Linked DNA regions of Rattus norvegicus. The protein of the gene in region 2 purifies or fractionates together with the protein of the main gene of each other region. This does not show direct contact. Links are inferred from orthologs where the notes say so. Each region holds a gene or a part of one and is shown on either strand. Other genes may lie near its edges.

Evidence for each region.
Region 1: the proteins of Aicda (region 2) and Ctnnbl1 purify together in Homo sapiens (affinity purification with western blotting; 3 studies listed by BioGRID, with this or other methods). This does not show direct contact. The link is inferred for Rattus norvegicus from reciprocal best matches to the Homo sapiens genes AICDA and CTNNBL1.

Annotation. Positions count from the first base shown.
Region 1 is NC_086021.1:166,806,185-166,810,730, reverse strand, and holds the start of Ctnnbl1 (beta-catenin-like protein 1), read right to left. Parts: upstream 2,833-4,546; 5' UTR 2,781-2,832; coding exon 2,751-2,780; intron 1-2,750. UniProt on the Homo sapiens protein: Component of the PRP19-CDC5L complex that forms an integral part of the spliceosome and is required for activating pre-mRNA splicing.
Region 2 is NC_086022.1:157,452,514-157,456,326, reverse strand, and holds the end of Aicda (single-stranded DNA cytosine deaminase), read right to left. Parts: intron 2,512-3,813; coding exon 2,241-2,511; intron 1,549-2,240; coding exon 1,433-1,548; intron 1,004-1,432; coding exon 950-1,003; 3' UTR 369-949; downstream 1-368. UniProt on the Homo sapiens protein: Single-stranded DNA-specific cytidine deaminase. Involved in somatic hypermutation (SHM), gene conversion, and class-switch recombination (CSR) in B-lymphocytes by deaminating C to U during transcription of Ig-variable (V) and Ig-switch (S) region DNA.

The DNA.
Region 1 (4,546 bases), on a different chromosome or scaffold from region 2:
GAAGACATCTGTATCACCTCTCAAAATGCAAAGGCTTTCTTCTGGCCCTTAAGGAGGTCCTACCTCAACTGTAATCTGCCAATATTTCCAGATGCCGTGTCACCTTCTGGTGTCCTGCTCACTCACCAAGGCTGGGTTACATGGCTCTTCTCTCTGCTTGTCTAATGGTCCTGGAGCCTGTGCTCACAGTCTCTGCCCCTGACTTCATCATTCTGCCCTGTCATATGCTGGCTCCTTAACCTTCAGGGCACTAACGCTGGCCCGTCAGACTCCTTCCCTGACCACTCAGTCTACAGAGGCCCTGAAAGGAGTTATACACAGCGGCGTTGGCCAACAGAAATACAATGAGAGTCACAAACCTTACATAGAAGTTTAAACTCAGAAGTAGGCACGAAATTTAAGTTTAAAAATCTATTATCCTTAATCCAATGTATAAACGTAATCTACCTTAAAAATTAAGATAGTTCATCATTCCCCAATAAAGCTGTGAGACGCAGTGTGTACTTTACACATAAGCACTTGATGCAGGTGGGCCACTCTTTCGATATCCAACAGTCATGCGCACAGCAGACGCCAAACATGCTCACATTTCCACAGCGGATTCTGCCGCACTCCCTCATAACACTTCTGGCCATCTAAGTTTCTTATTTGCTTACTCAATATTCTCTGGCGGCTCCCCCACTGTATTTGCCTTTTCAAAAGCAAGAGCCTTGTCTTGTTTATTTCCACATCATATGCTCAAAGGACCAAGTAGCTTGTGCACAGTAAATGTCCAACAAGTATCTGTAGCCAAATGGGCCTCTCCTGGCTGCACTGTTCCAGCTCTGAATCAATGGACTGGACTCTACAGATTTAGACTATGGATTTAGCCCAGAACTCCCAAACGAGTATTCTTCAGTGACCTTCCCACCACCTTTCTTGTTCCATTATCAATTACACTGTCTTAAAGGGGAAAATATTGTGGCCTCGCATCTGTTCTCTGACACTTATGTATTCTTTCTCATCAGGCTTGGAGTCTCCATCTATGGGATCAGGGTTTATATATTGGCTAAAGGAAATAATTACCAATATTAGTATTTATGGACTGTTATTATACTCTGCAACAAACACTAGCCTAACACTTTTTTTTCTCTTTTTCTTTTGGTTTTGGTTTTCTGGACAGGATTTCTCTGTGAGACCCTGGCTGTCCTGAAACTCACTCTGTAGACCAGGCTGGCCTTGAAAGATCTGCCTGCCTCTGCCTCCTCCCAAATCCTGGGACTAAAGGTGTGAGCCACCAACTGCTATGCATAGCTAGTTTTTTGTTGTTGTTCTTTCATTTTGTTTTGTTTTGTTTTGTTTTGTTTTGTTTTTAGGACAGAGTTTCTCTGGGTAGCCCTGGCTGTCTTAGAACTCACTCTGTAGACCAGGCTGGATTTGGACTCAGAGAGATCCATCTGCCTCTGGCTCTGGCCTCTGCCTCTGCATGCTGGGATGAAAGGTATGTGCCACAACCACCTGGCCCACTGTAAATTTCTTAACAGAAGAAAAAATTTCTTCACAACAGACACAAGGTAGGTAGCATGAGGTATTCTGTTCAAGGTTACAACCAGTCAGTAAGAAAAAGAAGAGATTGAAGGCAACCTGGGGCTCCAAATCCAGGCTTTTGGAGGATCAGGGGGTTGTTTCACTAAGTATCGCTGGCTGGCCTGGAATTTAGTGACCTGGGGCCTCTGCCTCCCAACTTTCAGGCACTGAGATTAAGGCATCCATGGCCAGCAGTTCAGGCTCACAGCTTCTCATCACCTACTCTGGTCTTTTAAAACAATCACAGTTTGAACACTACACAAGTGGGCAAGGTTGGCTAAAATTGTATTTTATTTCCATTACCCAAAGTATGCTCCATCATATGATGGTCTCGTATATACTCATTCAACCAACATGATCAAGGCTCTGTAATCAATATAAAAATACTACCTTTTTTCATACTATGTCTTTAGAATGAGGTGTGATTTACAAAACAGTACTTCCTAATTCAGACTAATTACCCTGTATGAGCTCCGACGCTATTGCAGCTAGTGAAAACAAGGCTGGACCCAAGGAACCTCATTAGGCAGTTAGGCAGTCAAAAGAGGGCGAAAACTTTGGGCCGGGAGCCTGGACACTTGAACTTTATCTAGTCTGTAGCTGTTGAGTGACCTCGGGCAAGTCCTTTCTTCTCTCTAGGTCACCCGTTCCCCACAAGTACCCTGAGCAAGGAGGTCAAGAGGTCTCTGAGGGACCCATTCCATGATTCATTTTCCAAGTATCTTAACAATTGCGGGGACCATGGCCACAGGTTTCTGCACTTTCAAATGACCTTTCACATATATCCATTTTATAGATTTTAAAAGAAAAAACGAGACTCCGTGACGGGAGAAAGACTTATCCAAAGCTACACCGACTCTTGGTAAAGAAACTGACACCGAAATAAAAAGCAGTGTTCTCCACAACTGTCTTAAGCGCTATGAATTGGAAGAAATGAGGCCGAAGAGGAGCTGAAGGGAATCGGGCTGCCGGGTGGGGAACAGAGATCAAATGGCTCAGGCCTGGAGAAAGAAGGGGTCGAAAGGGTCCACGAGGGCTTAGGGGAGTGAAGTGCAATGACAGGATGCAAGCCCGGGTGACATGAGAAGTGAGGGCCAGGGACCGAGAGGAGGCAAGATGACCGGGCTCTTCCTTGCGACGCCAACGAGGATGAGGAGCTCTCCGGCCCTGCCAACTGCACCTACCTGGTAGCTTAAAAGTTCGCCCACGTCCATGGTTCCGGACCCAATCAGCACAGTGTACCCTGGTTGCCTCCACTTACTCCCGAACCACGGGCCGCTTAGAGGCTTTTCCTGCCACACTGCCGTAAAGCGCCAGGCCTCAGAACCAATAGAGTAAAAGAGCGCGTGGCCGGCGCTCTCGCCACACTGCCGTAAAAGAAAGCGCTGCCGTAAAGCGCGCCGCAGTTTGACTATTCTGCTTCCGCCTGGATCCTGAAGGGGCAGGAAAGTGGGAGGATGCTAAGGGAACAAACCTAAAAACTAGGCGGTCATCCAAGTGTAGAGCAGAATGCCTGATGTTTCGTGGGTAACCTTCCACGTCTTCCAGAGACTGCCACTTTTGTTCTTATTTCACCCTCATTTCACAGATAAAGAAATTGAGTTGTGGGGCTGGGGATTTAACTCAGTGGTAGAGCGCTTGCCTAGGAAGCGCAAGGCCCTGGGTTCGGTCCCCAGCTCCGAAAAAAAGAACCAAAAAAAAAAAAAAAAAAAAAAGAAATTGAGTTGACTGGTTGGCGGTGTTGTACGCCTTTGATCCCAGTACTGGAGAAGCAGAAGCGAGCAGATCTCTTGAATTCGAGACCAACCTGGTCTACAGAAACGAGTTCCAGGACAGCCAGGGCTACACAGAGAAACCCTGTCTCGCATGGGTTAGAGAGAGAGGAGGAGAGGGGAGAGAGGGAGGGAGAGAGGAGCTAAGGTTTAAAATCCTGCGTCCCATATGATAGTCGCCTGTGGCTAGTCCTATCACATGTGACTACTGGGCACTTGAAGTGTGGCTAGTCCTAATTGAGAGGTTAAGTGTGAATCAAATGTACACTGGATTTTTCATACTTGAACTGGTGTCTTTTTTTTAACTTATGGGTAAAGGGAAATATGAAATGAATTTGAGTTTCTTATTTGTTAAGTGCACTTAATAGATATACTGAAATTGCTTACATGGATTTCATTTTGGGGTTCCCATTATGCTTCCCCTGGACAGTGCTGGCTTACAAATTGGCACCTGGGCATAGATTACTGGTGACTGAGAAAACGTTGATATCGTGTTTGTTGTTTGTTTGTTTGTTTGTTTGTTTTTTCTGAGCTTCTGTCATTGGCACAAGACCCAGTAGCAATTGGATAATCTTCACGTCTACCCAAACAGTATAAAAAAGGTCTGGGAGTCTGGAGAAATGGCTCAGCACTTAGGAGCACTTACTGCTCTCTAGACAACCCAGTTTACTTCCCAGCAGCCATGTTGAACAGCTCACAATTGCCTTTAACTCCAGTTCTAGAGGATCCGATGGTCTCTTCTGGCCTCCATTTACACCCAGAAGCACACACACACACACACACACACACACACACACACACACACACACACACACACTTTTATAAAAAGAGGTTTCTGGGGAAGGAATTTGCCCGTTATTGAAATAGTAAGGAATCACAACAGACTCCATCCCAGAAAGCCCATTCAACTATCTCCAACTACACATGAGAAACGTGTTATTCCTCAAACTGCCGCATCCTCTCCTCATTATTCCCTCTGCGAGCACTTCCTCTGCTGTTCACAGACTCAATCCGTCACTTTGTACCTGATAGTTGACATTTTATGTATTGACAGCCTCATTAGTTCGACTGCAAACTCTAAAAGTTGGGGCTGAGTTTGTCAACTTCTCCCTCAAATCTTCAAAGCCCAGAACAGGGCATGGTAGAGGTTTCACAATGGGCTTTGTGAGCTTTGGTAACGAGAGTGCATTTTATACCGTCTACTTAGG
Region 2 (3,813 bases):
GGGGTGGGGATACGTGGCAGTTACTGTCTATGATGACTGTATACTTTTGATCTGGATTTTCTGCTCCTCTCCTTACAGTAAGGCACCAGTTACTTAAGAAATAAGGATGTTTAAACCCTTTAACAGAGTTATGGATGTTTAAGGGAAGCGATCTGAAAATTGGATTGAACTCTTGAACTCTCATTCTAGATAAGACTGTAAGTAAACTAATGACATTAAAAACGAAAGAGAGTCTGTGTTTCCAGGGGATTTGCTTCTTGAAGCATGAACTCATTTTCAGAATGATTTCTTTGTAGTCCTCATCTGCATTTTAATATCCTTTATTAAAATCACCCAGAGGTGATCACGCATACTTCAAATCCCACCCTCCCAAACCCTCTCACGTACGAATATAAAAAACAGGACGGACAATGAAAATATATAGCAATATATAGCACATGCCTGCATATTAATGCTTTTGAGAGAATGACTTGTGATGGCTCAGACCGCGACTATAGGACAGCCCCGTGGCCTCGTCAGAAGAGAACCCCTGAAAGTGAGCCCCAGAAGAAAAGAGTAGAAAAATCCGTCACTGATACCCCTGAGAATTCAAATGAATAAAAGAACATAGGGTAGGTGTAACAAACTGTGAGATCGTCTCCATATGTTTTTCTAAGCAATTTCCTTCCGTTTCCATCCTGTTGAAAAGTCCGAGAGAGCATCATATGTGATCCAAAGTCTAGCAGTTCTGCTGTTCCCCAGTAGATGGCGATGTTGTACACAAAGCACAGTTTGCACCATCGCTCTGGAGGGCCTATGCAGCTCAAGTATTTTTAAAAGTCATATAATTTCCCCTCTACACTTATAAGTGAGTACTTAGGAAGAAAAACGGGTAGTTGAAGGATTGTTTTTTCATCCAGTCTCTTCAGCAGAGAAATTTCACTACACGTGACGTTCCAGGAGGTTGCTATCAAAGTCCCAAAATACGAAACGCATCTCTCAAGTCATCGACTTCATACAAGGGCTGCAGAAAAGAGAGATACAAACAGAGTGAATGGATTTAAATTTGAGCTGGGGCGGGGGAAGCGTCTGAACGAAGTGGGTGCTCCAGAGGAAAGTATATTGGGATGAGGTCTAGGAAAAAGAAGGGGAGAATTCTGGCCTGGAAGGAATCCCACCTGAGGGGAGGATAACAGAAAGAAACAGTTATGAGGACTGAGCGAAGAGGAAGCTACAGGAAAGAGGCTAAGTGGGAGCTCAGCCCTGGGCAAAGATCAAAGAGAAAACTGGAGTGTAAGTGCAGTGAAGTATTCGTCACGTGAAACAACACGAGATACAACTAACTATCTAAGAGGCTGGTGAGTAGGGGGGGAGACAGACACACACACACACACACACAGAGAGAGAGAGAGAGAGAGAGAGAGAGAGAGAGAGAGAGAGAGAGAGAACTTACCAAAAGGATGCGCCGAAGCTGTCTGGTTAGCCTGACGGAGTTTTCATGCAGCCCTTCCCAGGCTTTGAAAGTTCTTTCATGATTTTCTACAAATGTATTCCAGCAGTAAAAATAGTCTTAAGAGAGAAATAAATGCATAAATAAGAAGGTGCGTCTGTGCGCGCGCACATACAAACAGTGTGTAGGTGAAGGTCAGAAAGTCAGACACAATTAGTGAGATTTCTTTTCTTCCACCATGTGGGGTTTCAGGGATCAAACTTGAGCCACCAAGGCAAGTGTCCCCACAGAACCATCTCTCTGACCACCACCACCACCACCATCACCATCACCATCATCACCATCATCATCATCATCGTTAATTTGTTATTTGATTGCTGACGGTGGAACGCAGGGCTTTGCACGTGCTAGATAAGAGTTCTGTCACTTAGTGCACCTGTAGCCCTCCCAACTTCTATCTCTCAAATTCTGATAATTCTGAGATTAAGCATACTTATAGTTCCACCACTCAGAAGGCACAGGGCAGAGAATTGAAAGCCTGAGATAGTGAGACCCTACCTCAAAAAATAAAATAATACATTTGATATCTAGTATGAATTGAGAGTCTTTTTTTTTTCTTTTTTTTTTTTTTTTTCGGAGCTGAGGACCGAACCCAGGGCCTTGAGCTTGCTAGGCAAGCGCTCTTCCACCGAGCTAAATCCCCAACCCCTCATGAATTGAGAGTCTTGATGTCGCCCTCTGCCCCCAGTGTCCCAGCCGACTCTCACTCTGAGTGACAACTCAGATCTCCTCTCCTGTGCACCCGTCTCACCTTTGAAGGTCATGATCCCGATCTGGACTCCGGCGCGGTGCAGCCTCCGCAGCCCCTCAGGCTCAGCCTTGCGGTCTTCGCAGAAGTAGAGGCGCGCGGTGAAAATCCTCAGGCTGAGGTTAGGGTTCCATCTCAGAAACTCAGCCACGTGCCGCGCACAGTCGTAGCAGGGGCTCCAGGAAGTGAACCAGGTGACACGGTAACACCGGCCGGGGTCCAGGTCCCAGTCCGAGATGTAGCGTAGGAACAACAATTCCACGTGGCAGCCCGACTGGAGAAAGAGCAGAGAGTGCTGGTGACGAGACAGTCAATGCTGTCCTACCCAGGCCATTTGGGATGCTTGTGGGAATGTCGCATGGCTGGCCTGGAACTCGCTATGTAGACCAGGCTGGCCTCAAACTCACAGAGATCCACCTGCCTCTGCCTCCAGAGTTATGGGATTAAGGGTGTGCGCCACCATTCCCAGAATAAAGTTAATTGTCTTGTTAAGAGAGCACTTATTGGAGCCAAATCTTTTTTTTTTTTTTGGAGGGTTTTTTTTTTTTTTCGGAGCTGGGGATCGAACCCAGGGCCTTGCGCTTCCTAGGCAAGCGCTCTACCACTGAGCTAAATCCCCAACCCCGAGCCAAATCTTTTTATTACATTGGCTCTGTAGGGTCAAGAAAAGTTGCAGATTTATGGGACAAGGGATTTATCACACACCTTTGTGATTGTTTGGATGCCATGTTGTAAAACTGCATCTTGGCCACTAGGTGGCGCCAGGACAATTTGTAAGGAGGGTTAGGGCACAGCTTGGAGGGAAAGCTTATTGAAGAGACTCAAGTCTAACTTTGTGTGTAAGTGGAAGGCAATTAAGTAATGTGTGTGTGTGTGTGTGTGTGTGTGTGTGTGTGTGTGTGTGTGTGTGCACGCGCGCGCGTGCGCGCGCGATCCCAGTGACTGTGATAACTGCAACCGTAATAGGCCCATGTCCTACTGTGAAAATCATTAGTCTAAGACTGAAGATGGTTTTTATTCTACTCATCTTTTTTGCGCTATTTCTTTAGCAGTAAAGCAAACTGGTGTTTTGAGCACTGCGTGCAAAGAGAAAGTACTACTTGACCAAGCTGTCTAAAAATACAGTGCGTCATGACTCCAAGTAGGGAAGAGATTGTGTGTAAAACGATAGTGTTGAAGTAAGTTTTCCCCACAAAAAGGGAACCTTCATTATAAATAGCCAACTCCATGAGCGTGTGCGTGTGCGTGTGCGTTGCCCTTGTGGGAAAGCATTGGATTCCCTGGATCAGGAGTTTCAGATGGTTGTGAGTTGACATGGGAATACTGGGAATCTAGCCCAGGTCACGGCGGAGCAGCCTCTGGGTGGAGGGTTTTGGGGGGAGGGGGCTCCTTTACTTAATGGGGGGGGTGAAGTGGAATGGGGAGACATAGAAAAGTTTGGGGACAGTTCTTACTGTCATTGAAGCAGAGTGTGGCAATAGGGTTCCCAGCGTGACTACCAACCTTCAGGCCCAGAATGTGGAAAGAACCCTAGGAAGCTGGTGGAGACATTAATCAAATAACCCGAAAAGGTTCA